3 linked regions of the Danio rerio genome follow. Each later gene encodes a partner of the first gene's protein in a complex. Links are inferred from orthologs where the notes say so. Each region holds a gene or a part of one and is shown on either strand. Other genes may lie near its edges.

Region 1 (5,726 bases):
TATAATGTTGTGTGTGATCTAAATATAACAACTTGTGCGCGTGTGTGTGTGTGTGTGTGTGTTTGTGTGTGCGTGCGCGCAGCCTGTGTCTCTGTCGGATCGTGAGGTGGTCTCTAGGCTCAGGAACTGTCTCCTGGCTCTGGCCAATCAGAAGGTGCTGCTGTTCGACACCAGTGTGCTGTACTGCTATGAGGCGTCACTGCAACACCAGGTCTCAACACACGTCTGTCTGTCTGTCTGTCTGTCGCTTTGACTGTCTGACAGTCTGTCTGTCTCTAAGCGTGTGTGTGCAGCTCTTCATTCTCAGTATCTTTGCTGTTCTCCAGATTAAAGACATCCTGAAGCCGGAGATCATGGAGGAGATTGTTCTGGAAACACGGCAGCGTCTGATGGAGCATGAAGGCTGAAACACCGCTCTATATATAATGCATATAACACACACCACATTATTCATATTTTGTAATAAATTTGTTATAACACCCAAAGCGTGTGTGTGCGTGTGCGTGTGTGTGTGTGTGTGTGTGTGTGTGTGTGTGTGTGTGTGTGTGTGTGTGTGTGTGTGTGTGTGTGTGTGTGTGTGTGTTGATCATTCTCTCAACCTGAAGAGTGCTGGAGAAACACACATTGACTTTCATCGTCTTTATTCCTGCTATTGAAGGCAGCGGCAGCATTCTTCAGAGTATCTTATTTTGTATTCGACAGAAGAAACCCATAGGTGTTTAGAAGCAGAGCAAATGAGGATTAGGGTGGAACGGTGGCTCAGTGGTGTCGCACTGTGTGCTCACAGCAAGAAGGTCTCTGGTTTGAGTCTCGGCTGGGTCAGTTGGTGTTTCTGTGTGGAGTTTGCATGTTCTCCCCGTGTTGGTGAGGGTTTCCTCCGGGTGCTCCGGTTTCCCCCACAGTCCAAACACATGCGCTATAGGGGAACTGATCAACTACACTGGCTGTAGTGTATGAGTGTGTGTGTGTGAATGAGTGTGTATGGGTGTTTCCCAGCCCTGGGTTGCAACTGAAAGGGCATCCGCTGTGTAAAACACATGCTGGAATAGTTGGTGATTCATTTCACTATGGCGACCTCTGATATATAAGGGACTAAGATGAATTAAAATGAAAGTAGATCTCTATTTCTGTGTGAACTGACCCCTTAAGTGTGTTTCTGACGCTGCTCTGTGTGTTTATTCCACCAGGGGGCTTCAGTGATCACACAACTACAACTATAGAGCAACGCTTCTGCAACCTTCAGCAGTAATGCACTTATTATAAAGAGCAGATTTATTTAATTGCTGTAAATTATAACCGTATAATTATGTATTTATGTGCTGACATTATGATGTGCTTTAATCAATGATGGTTGTTTTTAAATGTGCTATGTAAATACAATCGAATTTAATATAGTTGTATAATAATATATACTAATAGAATAAATATTATTGATATTTAAGACAGTAAAACTCAACGCTGTTGCATCAAATTAAAGCTATTTTGGAGTTTGTTGAAGTATTTTTGTATTAATAGATTATTGAAATAAATATCAATCAGGTATAATTTAGTATGATTCAGAATGATGTTATATTAATATATAATATTATTTAATAATATTGTTGAATTAGAGAATCATAAGTCATATACACTTTAAGTTTGAAGTCTTTAATTAGGAATGTTAAAGAGAGCATTAATCTTACAGTTTTGTATAATATATGTTTTCTGCGTACAGGAACCGCAGCGTTTTTATTTTTAACTGTTTATTATTATTTATTCATATTAGAGACAACAACAATAGGTAAACACTTCTTACAAGGCGTTCACATCAAAACAAAATACAAGTTTTCGCTTGTTGGCGGAAGAGCGCGGCGCGTGACGTCACGGGCGCAGCTCGCGTGCGCGAACATGGCGGTTCCTGCGACGACGAACGACGCGAAGAAAAGTGCTGGAAGTTATGAAATATTACTAAAACATGACGAGAACCAGCATTAAAACACTGCGGGGGAACCGAGCGGGTGTCCGGTGAGCAGAAGAGCCCGACAGCGGAGACACGCGGCGGGTAGAGGAGCGTTTAAATCCGCCTCAGAGAGAGAGAAGTGCACGCGGAAGTGACGAGACTTTACCAACTAACCAGAACTCAACACCACAGCCAAAGGCAAGAGTTAAATCTGCACAGAAGAGCCTGGAGGGCTTCAGTGAGATCCACACACTTTATTCATGACTTTAATGAGCATCAGGAGATACAAACACGGTCTCATCTGCTTACTGAATGACACCACGATCACACCAAACGCGTTTACTGCACTCCCAGACTCTTCCAGTGGCTAATAATTATCATAATAACTCTAATAATGATGATCATTGAGAGTTTCACGCACACCAGAGCGTCTGAGTTCATCACTGACCCCTCTGATGTGCTGATATCTTCTCCTTTGAGAGTTTGATGTTGACGTGACGTCAGAATGATTGACAGCTCGTCAGCAGTGATGTTCATGCATTAATGCTGACTCTGTGAATGAGGATGACTCCTTCATACATCCCACAGTGCCTTAGAAACACTTCTAACCTCTAGAAGGCGGGGATCTGATCTGCGGTCAGGCTGGCACATGCATGACTGGCACAGGGGAGTGTGTGTTTTCAGGCTCCTCCAGCTGATCTCCTGCGCTGTGTGTTCTTATGGGGCAGCAGCCAGGAAAGTTAGTGGGTGAGCAGAGGAGACCGAGCCTGCCGGCACTGCCCTTCATCAAGGCCGCGGGGAGGAGAGAGACGCCCCGGCACGGAGCACCGCACTGCAATGTGTTCACGGTCCACGGTCAGTGCCAGATCCAGCACACCACATTCACTCATCACTCAAGGGGGCAGTTCACTCACGAATGATCAGTAGGGAACATTTAGGATCAGGGGGAGGCCAAGCCAGCCTGAGATCCCCGAGGCTCTGCAGTGGTTGTGGAAATTATAAATTGAACCAAAGCAATTATAATTGGGTTAAGATTGGCTATGACAATTCTGGAAAACCAGCAGAGCCTTGGAATTAATAATACAATTAATAACATTGAGGCCTTGATCACACTGAATGCACTTTTAATGGTGCGAGGTGCCTTTTTTGAATGGTTATAAATTGGTTGTGAGTGTTTGTGCACTGCTTAGGGGCCGTTCACACAGAATGCATTTTCTTTCTGTATAGTGCACTACTATACTATTGTTTTTCAATGTAAACACACGCTTGACGTACGTGTCTGACTGCTACGTTGCATCTTTTGAAGCATCTCGTTTTTTTAAACGCCATGTCTGGTTGAGAGGTCTTCGACTTTCACACACAGCACAGTCAGTTCCACAGCAGTGGACCAATCAGAAGAGTGCTTGGGTGTTGCAAGCTTCAGTTTATAGTAGAAAGTTGGCATGATAACTCTTATTTAGCTTTATGGCAGAGGAGGCGCTCATTCTGGCTGTGTCCAGATTAGGCATGGGACGATATCCGTGTTCAATGTGTACCGTGGTTTTGAAAAGTCAGGGTTTTAAATTCGTCAAAATTTAAAAGATAAATATTTTAAAGATTTTTTATTTACATTTTTTTTTAGGACAACAGTATCTCCAGCAGTAAAGATCTCCAAAGACACTGTTTTAAATAGTAAAGAAATCAGTGCTTTTGAAACTAATGAAGACAGCAGAAGTCAATAATTCACGTTTACTGCTCCAAAATACTTGAAATGTTTCTCAAATTGAAATAAATTGTGTACAAAGAGGAAAAAAGTTTTCTATCCCGACTTTTAAAAAGAATATATTTTAGATAGGAGTTTCAAAATTAATTGTTTCTTCAGTCCACCACGAAGCAAATGCAGACAATTCAGAACATCAGAAAGATCCAGCTAACTCTATCAAGCCTCTTCAGCTGCTCCAGAACGCAGCAGCACGAGTGGTCTTTAATGAAGCTAAAAGAGCACATGTCACTCCGCTGCTCATCCGTTTGCACTGGCTGCCAGTTGCTGCTCGCATCAAATTCAAAGCTCTGATGTTTGCTTACAAAGCGACTTCTGGCTTTGCTCCTTCTTATCTGCTCTCACTTCTGCAGATGTATGTGCCCTCCAGAAACTTGCGTTCTGTGAATGAACGTCGCCTCGTGGTTCCATCCCAAAGAGGGAAGACATCACTTTCCCGAACTCTCACGCTCAATTTGCCCAGTTGGTGGAATGAACTCCCTAACTGCATCAGAACAGCAGAGTCACTCGCTGTCTTCAAAAAACCACTAAAAACTCAACTATTTAGCCTTCACTTCCCTTCCTAATCTGCAAGTGCCTCTCTGGATATAACGCTAACTGTACTAAAAAATAAATAATAATAATAATAATAAATACTAATGCTTTCCTTCTTATACTTTACAGACCTGAAACTTGCCTACAGCACTTATTCATTGTTGCTCTTATAGTTGTGTAAATTGCTTCCTTGTCCTCATTTGTAAGTCTCTTTGAATAAAAGCGTCTGCTAAATGTAAATGTAAAATTTGGTATCGGTTGAGTAATAATCATAACCGCTTACTATATACTGATGTCATTTATCTCATTTGCACTATGTTTTGTAGCTTACTATGGCGAGGGAGGCGAGCGCGAGTATTTACTACGCTCCAACTACTTAAAAACGCAGAAACTGTGCACAAATTTGACTGCGTGTGTGTTTGCTGGACAGTTTCCCTGACACTTACAGCAGAAGCTCCATTTCACTGCCATTGAGAGAATGAAAGTAAACTCCATTTCTCTCTCTCTCTCTCTCTCTCTCTCTCTCTCACTCTCTCTCTCTCTCTCTCTCTCTCTCTCTCTCACTCTCTCTCTCTCTCTCTCACTCTCTGTCTCTCTCTCTCACTCTCTCTCTCTCTCTCTCTCTCTCTCTCTCTCTCTCTCTCACTCTCTCTCTCTCTCTCTCACTCTCTCTCTCTCTCTCTCACTCTCTCTCTCTCTCTCTCTCTCTCTCTCTCTCTCTCTCTCACTGTGGCCCATTTGACCTGCTGGCGTGACTTTTCCTCTCCTCCTGGCTGTTACAGTGATACCTCTGTATACAGACATGAGCGCGTGTCTGCAGAGTTTTCTCCACCGTGTCTATGATGGATCAGCTGTGATCGCAGCCAATCGCAGCCCTTTCTGTTGAGCGCATGACCAATCAAATGAGTGTAAGAAAGAACTCGCTAGACAAGGTTCAGATCGCGAGCTGGATATTTATATTTGTTTATTTGCTATAAATGCTCGTGTTGTTTAAAGGTACAGTTTATATATCTGACTGTTAGTATTAAAGGACACAATTGCATTACAAATAGTATATAAATATATTTATACATTTTAATACAAGAAGTGTAGGTTCACAGCTCTTATCTCCATACTGTGATATTACACAACTTTGATGTGCTGACCCCCCCAACTTTAATCAGGAGGTGAACACAATACCTCATTCTCCATCTGAAGCTCCTTTACGAGACTCCACACTTGTAAACACTTGCTCCATCGGGCTCGCGGGGCTCTCACCTCACCCACACTCATTACCGCTACCAAGTTGTCCAGTCACAGAGCTTGCGCTATGTATCACTGCGATGTGTAGTTAAATCTTTCGAGAGGTCAGCATCGGAAAAAGGTCCTAAATTGGACATTGATTTCTGCTGGAGATACTGTTGTCCTATATAACTTAAAACAAAATGTAAAGGAATCGTACACACACCTCAGGAACGGTATTGCAGACAATCTTTGCGGTTTTAAAACCTCGAC
Region 2 (4,060 bases), on another chromosome or scaffold:
TATGTCAGAATTCCATTTACACAAGGGGTGTCCAAATTCAGTCCCGGAGGGCCGGTGTCCTGCAGATTTTAGCTCCAACTTGCCTCAACACACCTGCATGGATGTTTCTAGAAAAGAGCTTGATTAGCTAGCCCAGGTGTGTCTGATTGGGGTTGGAACTGAACTCTGCAGGACAATGGCCCTCTAGAACTGAGTGTGGACACCCCTGATTTAAAATATAGATAGTCATACTATATGGAACAATGAAGTGATTTTTAATTGAATTGTAGGACCTACTAAGTTACAATTGTGTCAGATTTTGTGGTTCTGATTACAAAATTCTTGTTCTGTCATGAAAATGAAATGTCAGAATCAGATAACACATTGCATCTCGGCAAATTATTGCTGATAATGTGAATGTAGAATAACTTCTGAAAACAAGCAATGGAGAGTGAAGGGTTGTGCTTCCAGATAGCAGCATTATCTCTTTTCACCGAGTCTGAAAGTGGTGTATGAAAAACCTTCTTTGTTCCTTTTGGTCAATGTCACAGAACCTGATTACAAACCACCATGACACCCTATGGCAGGACTTCTCAAACTCAGTCCTGTAGTTCCGGTGTCCTACAGATTTCAGCTCCAACTTGCCTCAACACACCTGCAAGGATGTTTCTAGAAAGCATATAGTGAAGCTGCGGTCAAACTAGACTTTTCTCCACATAGTCTTCCAATCATAAGCATGCGAATGTGTCAGATCATAGTGCGGAAAGTTTCACAGTTCGCTGCATTGCAAAGTTCAAGCTTGTTGAACTCTGTCCTGCGAAATCACATAACCTGACTGCATGAGGCCAATCGATGATCAAAACATGATTTCTCTGGACAGAAATTTAAAATATGAATCAATCGTTCGCTTTTTTAAATGTCTAAACATCTTGTTTAATCCCGCCCCTTTTTGCAGCGCCGTACGACAGAATTCCGCAAGCTCAAACTCTAGTGTGACTGCGGCATAAGAGCTTGATTAGCTAGCCCAGGTGTGTCAGATTGGGGTTGGAACTAAAATCTGCAGGACACCGGACCTCCAGAACCGAAATTGAGAATATATATAGCAACCCAGATACTGGAGGGCTACTACTGCTGCTGCCCTGCACAGTTTAGTTCCACCCTTGCTTCAACACACTTACCTGGAGGTTTCAAACAAGATTGAATGACTCAATTAGTTTTAATGTGGTGTGTTTAATTAGGGTTAGAACAAAACTGTGCAAAGCTGCAGCCCTCCGGGAACTGAGTTTGACTCCTGTTCTATACAGTTACTGCATTACATTCGGAAGGGTTCATCCCTATGCCTTTGTGCCTTCAATGCATTAACACTCCAGAGGGACAGCGTCGAAAGGATTAAAGCATAGAGATGAGCCCATCCGAACAGAAAGCAATGTGTGACACCAAACATCTTCCCTGAGCAAAGGATTATAAGTGTCCATCAGTTGTACCCTTTGAAATCCTTAATGCCTTAAGGCCCTTTAAAGTGGCCAGTTTTAGCACATTGGTTTGGAATGACACTTTAATACGGTAGCCATATTGACTTTCACTTCAAATTGCCCTTTGAAGGGCGATATATTTAACATTTGGAATAGGTAAAGAGGTTAGCCCATCTCTTCTCAAACATAGGGTGCTTCGCAAATCTTATTTGTATATCCTCATTTCCTTGCCTTGTGTCTTACATCATTTCTTAGGGGTGGAGCTAAGAAAAAGATGCGAGGATAGAGTAACTGAATCATGTGATGTAATGTCTCCTGACTTTTGGCATCATTTCAAGGCATCCTCATTTAATGAATCCTCTACAACCCTGATTTTGGTTTCAAGTCAGGACTCTTGAATATTAAAAATCATCATTTATATTGTACTGGTTTCAACATCCACAAAACCCCACATTTGTTTTTTTTATTTAATTTTGCCAGTTATTACTAAAATCAATTATATAAATTAAAATGTATGAAATCAAAATAGATTCTTAAGGTGAGCAATTTAACAGTGCAAGTTAATCTACAAAAAAAAAAAGGTTGTTTTGTTAATCTTCAATCAAAGTCTGACCACCTGCTTTCAAGTTTGGAGAGATAGTCCTTCTCTGTCGACGTCAGTTTGGCGGCTTTAGCCACAACATTCATTGTGTTTGCGATGAGGCAATAATGCGCAAAAAGAAAGCCCCGCCCCCTACTTAAAATTCCATTTCAGTTGGAAGTGCATCAACTTTCAGACTTTAATAATGAATAATTAATATAAGTTATTAACTGATTTTAATTTGTGCTGAAAAGTACATTACATTGTAGAAAATGTGAAACGTAACTGGGAGACATAGTCAAGCCAATTGGTTTAATATAACTTGGGTCATGTTTAGTCAATAAAAACATCCGCAAAGAATCCTTTCTCATGACATCATAATGTGCATTTAGAGAATTAAGATAGCTACAAGATGGCTGAACTTGATCGGTGTTTGCTGTCGTAGGACAGAGGAACGAGAAAATAAGTAGAGACATTGAGAAGCACCCATAATTTACAGGTGTGTTGTGCTGAACTCAATCCCAAGAGTCACACATGCCTGATGCCAAATGTACGGCGTCAAAATCTGGCTACAGAATCTCTTTTTAACTGGGCATAAATCACACTAGGAGACACTGACATGAATCTTTTTCTTGCACATGTGTTAAGTGTCTGTGTTTGTGCACACTGTCACACAGAGTAATTGTGAAAGGCTGTGCATGCTACTGCACACTTATGCTAACTTACATTTTCTTCATAGATAAAGAAATGAAGTATCCTTTGGGCTTCACTGAGCAGAAGATGAGAGCTGCTTGTTCAATGCTTGCGGTGGTTGTGGAGGAGGAACTTTGGGTCTTCTGCCTTGAGGTTTCTTTGGTGGTCCTCCTTCAGGTAATGTAGGCAGTGGTACTAACATGGTTTCTGGCTTGGGTGAAAGTGGTGGTTTTATTTCTGAGCCTCTAGGCAATGGAACAGGAGGCAACTTTGTCTGGGCTGTTGGGAATGACATTGCTGGGCTTACAAGAAGGCCTTTGGTGTAGTTTGGTGCCTTTTGTTGGATGAATGACCTCCTTGCTGCAGAAATCAACTGGAATTTTAGTTTCTCCTACTAGACCTTAAAGCAAAAGCTTTTATAACTGTAGACTTACGTTTATAAGGACCAGCGATCTTCAATGTGGGCTCCTGGGTGGGCAGATCCTGAGTTGGCTCGGATATGCAGGAGATCTGTGGCATAACCTGTGATTGGCTCGGAGTGAGTACCGGAGTGTAACGAGGAAGTGCTGTGGGCATGTGATCCTGTGTCAGTGGCTGATCGGTTGGATCAGAATCGTTGTCCCACACAACAGCGTCGCGGTTCACAGGAGCTGATTTAACAACTATTGTCACCCCGAAGTCATCAGAGGAGGCTGAGCTAAAATAAAAGATAAGATTTCGGTGAGTCTCATTCAAGGAGAGAGGTTTCATCTTAGAAACTACAAAGGAGATTTAATTACCTGTCAGTTTTTGATATGGATGGTCGACCGGAGGAAAAAGGAGGAGAAGGTAAGATGCTGTCAGAAAGAGGTCTTTGGGATGTTGTTGAGAGCGGGCTTTCAGGGAGCACTGGGACCTCAAAATCAGCTTCTGAAAAGAAAATGAGGAAAGTTTATAATTGGAGTTTCGTTATTTTTAAGTTCGATGCATAAAATAAAGCTTTATTTCCCTAATGGTCGTTCATCAGGAATTTGGAAGGTGTCTGTCAATTGATTAAAACCAAGTCTGTTGGCCTGCCTGTTTCAAAGGAACTCAAAAGGAAATGAGATAACATCACAACTAAGGGTGTGTTTAGACTTGGCTGGTTTGGTTGTGGTTAAACTAAACTTCAGCAAGATTCCTCTGTCATCCAAACTGCAAAGCAAAAAAGTCAAAAATAGGACAAGATGCCACTAAGGGTTCAAGCATACCAAGTTCAAGCAAACCGTAGTTGCAGTGCTGCACATCACAATTCAATACGGATGTCAAGACACATCTTGTAGCAAATTTTCATTTGTGTGGGTGCAACAAAATATTT
Region 3 (4,442 bases), on another chromosome or scaffold:
GCTGATTTGGTCATAGACAACAATCTGCAATTAAGGCAGGCCATTAGGATAGCAATGTCTTATTTGGGGATTAAATGTGAAAATACATTACATTTCTAGCATTGAGACAGATAACATAGGCATGATGGAGACTGATGTTTAAAAATAAAATCAATACATATACCAATCGTAGAGAAAGGCTACTCATATGTGCAAAATCAATTGAGCAAAACACATTTGAGGCATTAGGTCAGGTTAATGTGACACTTTATAAAATCCTACCACATTATTATATTAATAATGGGTTGATTTAGAAAGATCATAACATAGTTTTGGACCACTCTATATGAGAGATTCACTACAACCACCACTTGTATTTTCAACCTTGGCAAAGGGAAGTTTTGGCAAAAACACATTGGCTATTTTGAGTGTAAATATCACAATATTGGATTCTTATTTAGAAACAACAACAAAAATCAAATGAGTCTACCGTATGTTGAGGAATTGAGTCTAGCATTAGAAATTAGGGTTACACATTCAACAGATTCTCATTTAGTGTAATACTTCCAAGTACAGCAATAATGGTAAAAGGAGCAAGTAGCGTTTCCTGATATTATATAATGAAAATGTAGTAAAACAAAAGTTACTTAGCGGTAGTGAATAATGACGCATCTTGTATACATTACACATGTGCATAAATAAAACAAGGCGGTGAGGGTTCGGGCTTCTCCATCTTTCATATATAGTGTACCGCCCTAGTAGGAACCGCTTCATGACACCGTTGGGTGGCGCCAAGCTAATCAAAAAGACTAAAAACTATTCAAAGCTCATTTGTTCTGGATATTTTCATGTAGTTTGTAGTGTGAAAGCCGCTGTGTTCTAGGACACCAAGTAGTGTTTGCTACCGCATTCAAAGAAGCAAAGGAACAGTCCCTTGTTAAGACACCAAAAACCGCTCATGTTTTAAGTCCACGTAGGCTTCTTCATCTTCTTTTCTCAGTTCACAAGAAGCCCCACACTAATGCTCCTCTCTCTGTAGTGTATGGTGTTGTATGTGAAATTTAGTGTTTACTTGGTAAATATCTTTAATTATTGCATAAAACCTAACAAGGGAATTGTGTACATTGGCATGAGACACAATGGCACAAGGTAATGATGAGGCGGACAGGTAAAGGGCAGTAGTGAGGATGTGTGAGGAGCCGGAGTGTGTGTATGTGTGTGTGTGTATGTGTGTGAGTGTACATCTAAGGGCTGCTAGGTAAGACAGTCTGCTCTCTCAGCTTAGTTCGTCCTCTGGATTGTGCTGGTCCAGCAAGCGGACGTGGGTAAAGGGAAAATGGCCATGCTTTCCCTTGCACTCACCCTCCCACTGCCCGTTTACATTGATCTTGGTCACCTTTACCATGTCGCCGACCTAAAAAATCCAACAACAAAAGCGTTTGTTAGTATGATGCACAAAATAGCAAACTTTAGAAAACCTAGTTCCACTAGGAGGCGCCTATACTATAAATGTTTTTATAAAATGTTAAAGTAACAGTTTACAATTAAAACAATTATTCCAAAATGTACTTTTAGATATGCTTTTTGCATTTCAGATGAAGCAGATCATTGTATCAAATTATAAACTAGTTTTTGAAGCTCCAAACCCAAATGTTTGATTAAAGTAATCTATATTAATTGTGGATTAATGAATACATTCTGAAGATAATTAGCATGTTTTCGTAAGAAAAATGAACATATTTTAAAGTCTATAACTTATAATTGACTTCTGATAGGTCAACAAAACAATTCAGAGCTAAAGCTGCGGTCACACTGCACTTTTCTCCCCATAGACTTCCGTTCATACGTACGCGAATGCATCAGACCAGAAACACAAGCTTGTGCGACAAGATTCGCAGTTCTATGTGTTGGAAAGTTCAAGCTTGGTGAACTCTGACCTGCGAAATCGCATCACATGACTGCGTAAGAGCAATTGAAGATCAAAACAAGGACCAATAACTTGCTTTTTTAAATGTCTAATTATCTTATTTAATCTCGCCCCTTTTCGCAGCACCGTAGAACAGAATCTCGCACACACAAACTCTAGTGTGACCGCAACATCACTCATAGGCATCATTTGTTACTTTAGCTTCTGCTACAAACTGTGATTTAGCAAAAGCTGCAGCTGTTATACAGATGTTGTCAGGGAAGCTCTGTTCTGTGATCAGTAGTAAATCTCCATTCCAAGGCCAGAGGGTGCTCTCGTGTGGAAATTAAAAATGTTAAAGAAGAAACCCAATTGAATCCCTAAAGTCGCCTTTCCACTGCACAAGACATTTGGACATGACTGTCGGAATATGCCCCCTTGTGGCAGTCGCACAGAATTTTCTGTTTTGTCATGCACCATGAGAGAGAAGCTGTTCTCGCAGTGTCTGAAAAAGCGTTTTTATTTTCCGTGCGTTCACCATGGTTGAATGAATGAATACTAGAAAATCATAGACCGCTAAAAATTTTGAATAAATGAAAAAAACTAGTATTTCTCATCTTGCGCACTCGAACCTGCTTGGACAACACTGGAATTCATCACATCCGGTCGGCCGGTCGCATACGAAGATGATTGAAACGCCATGCAGCTCTGGGCTACTCTCCATTGGAAATGATTGACTTCCGGTCTGTCACAGGTCGTGTGCAGTGGAAAGGCGGCATAAAGCGGTTGCAGAATAAATAGGAGATTTAAAGAAAAAACTCAAAAAAATTGATTCAATGTTACGATTGATTGATTCATTGAAAGATTCAATGTCCTTGACATTTTTTCTTTGAAAACACACAGCTACAACAATGTGGTGTAATTGAGTTGTAATTTTTCTGATAATGAAGTACATAAAAATGCAAGAATACAACGAAATCTTATGCATGCTTTACTGTGCATTTACACCGAAAGCTGGGAGAGCATCAAAGTAGCCCGAGGTCATTCACTTTCAATGAGAGCTGGTGGCGATAAGCATAGAGGAGCAGCGTGTTTTCGTTGACGTCGAGGAATGTTTAAATCAAGTCAACTTTACTGCAATAAGCTATGACACGGTTCGAGGGCAAGCAATCAGAATGTAGAAGTTCACCGCTTGAGATGAGTCCAGAGAACACAGTCCTGTAAACTTTGATTCCGACCACAGTTGTTCCCAAGGGTTTTAGTATTGCAGTTGCAATGTTTTTTTTACAGGGACTTAAATACAAATTTTTTTTTTTAAAGTTACTGATGTGCATTAATTAATTTTATTTTATTTCGTACGGGAAATGCATGCTAACTAACGACAGTACAAAACCGTACTGCTGCTTCAGAATATTTCAGACATTTGGACACATATTGGATAAGTGGAGGAAAGCCACTGCACATACAACAACTGGATCTTCTGTAGTTAAATGAATTTACTAAAAAGCTGCGCAACATTTTCTTACTAAAATACACATTTTTATGTGGGAACGTAACTAATTTGCTGATATGCTGCAACGGCTCCTTTAAATACGGGGTTAATGTATCGATTTTTGACGCTCTCGCCGCTGGAACTGTGAAAGCCAGAGAGAACTCTGATGCTCTTGCGCCTTTGGTGTGAACACAAAGTTATTGAACAGAAATAGCCACATTATCTCAAAGACAAATTGGAAGTTAAAACATGTTAAATGTGGTATCTTTATTTGATTTTAGATGTAGCTGCATTTACCAAACAGATCATGAACTATGAGTAACTAGTAAATGGTGCTCCATTTGAAAGCTGGAGATATACTACTGACCACAGAGCTGGCTTTTACTCACAAAACGACGTGCATGAACATTGTGTTTAAATAATTGTGCAGCTCCAGTTTATATGAGCTTATAATCTTTTAAATAAGCATTTTTTTTCTTTCAAAAACTTAACACTTTGCTTCAGAAAATATTAAATAACCCACTGAGCAGTATGAATGACTTATAACACATTAATGTGCTTTTTTGAAGCAAACATTGTGTACATTTACTTGCAATTCAAAGCTAAGTCACATTAGTGTTTGTCAGGAATAGGACATATAGTAGTCCACATTTAAAGTAGATCAAATAAAGTTCTGACAATCATGGCAAGAATGGATGTTGTTAAATAGGACTATTTTAGTACAACTTAAGATGGAAGGTTTTGATCCACTTCAAATGCTGACTACTGGATACATCTAGAATAACTTGAAGGTTCATAAATGATGCAATATTTTCATTTTTATATTTATTAATATCTCAGAAAAGTTTACATTTGTTACCTCCAAAGCAAGAGCTGTCTTATCATAGGCATTGGGGACTCTCTTCTGAATCGCCCTGGCATAAACTGGGCCATTCTGTAGATTGGGTAAGGATGTGGGCTGGGCGTATTGGCCCGGTTCACCAAGCAGAGGTGGAGACTGAGTGCTGTGGCCGTCAGAGTTGCCGTGAGCACCGGACCCACTGACTGATACGCCAGGTGCACCTG

Evidence for each region. The genes of interacting proteins can lie anywhere in the genome.
Region 2: the proteins of abl1 (region 1) and sh3bp1 are in contact, whole or in part, in a crystal structure (PDB 1ABO), measured with the Mus musculus proteins. The link is inferred for Danio rerio from reciprocal best matches to the Homo sapiens genes ABL1 and SH3BP1. Residues at the interface, in NP_033724.2 of Mus musculus: Tyr70, Phe72, Ser75, Gly76, Asp77, Thr79, Asn94, Glu98, Trp99, Trp110, Pro112, Asn114, Tyr115; in NP_001303613.1 of Mus musculus: Ala607, Pro608, Thr609, Met610, Pro611, Pro612, Pro613, Leu614, Pro615, Pro616.
Region 3: the proteins of abl1 (region 1) and crk are in contact, whole or in part, in an NMR structure (PDB 1JU5), measured with the Homo sapiens proteins. The link is inferred for Danio rerio from reciprocal best matches to the Homo sapiens genes ABL1 and CRK. Residues at the interface, in NP_005148.2 of Homo sapiens: Tyr70, Phe72, Asp77, Asn78, Thr79, Asn94, His95, Asn96, Gly97, Glu98, Trp99, Trp110, Pro112, Ser113, Asn114, Tyr115; in NP_058431.2 of Homo sapiens: Pro44, Asp46, Asn63, Gly66, Pro67, Arg68, Pro69, Pro70, Val71, Pro72, Pro73, Ser74, Pro75, Pro80, Gly81, Ser83, Pro84, Ser85.

What each region holds. Positions count from the first base shown.
Region 1 is NC_133180.1:78,511,574-78,517,299, forward strand, and holds the start of abl1 (tyrosine-protein kinase ABL1), read left to right. Parts: upstream 1-1,864; 5' UTR 1,865-2,658; coding exon 2,659-2,794; intron 2,795-5,726. Other genes in the region: exosc2 (exosome complex component RRP4), read left to right, coding at 83-211, 327-407. UniProt on the Homo sapiens protein: Non-receptor tyrosine-protein kinase that plays a role in many key processes linked to cell growth and survival such as cytoskeleton remodeling in response to extracellular stimuli, cell motility and adhesion, receptor endocytosis, autophagy, DNA damage response and apoptosis.
Region 2 is NC_133187.1:20,897,423-20,901,482, reverse strand, and holds part of sh3bp1 (SH3 domain-binding protein 1), read right to left. Parts: intron 3,634-4,060; coding exon 3,504-3,633; intron 3,422-3,503; coding exon 3,159-3,421; intron 3,085-3,158; coding exon 2,798-3,084; 3' UTR 1-2,797. UniProt on the Homo sapiens protein: GTPase activating protein (GAP) which specifically converts GTP-bound Rho-type GTPases including RAC1 and CDC42 in their inactive GDP-bound form.
Region 3 is NC_133190.1:27,220,233-27,224,674, reverse strand, and holds the end of crk (adapter molecule crk), read right to left. Parts: coding exon 4,237-4,442; intron 1,394-4,236; coding exon 1,256-1,393; 3' UTR 984-1,255; downstream 1-983. UniProt on the Homo sapiens protein: Involved in cell branching and adhesion mediated by BCAR1-CRK-RAPGEF1 signaling and activation of RAP1.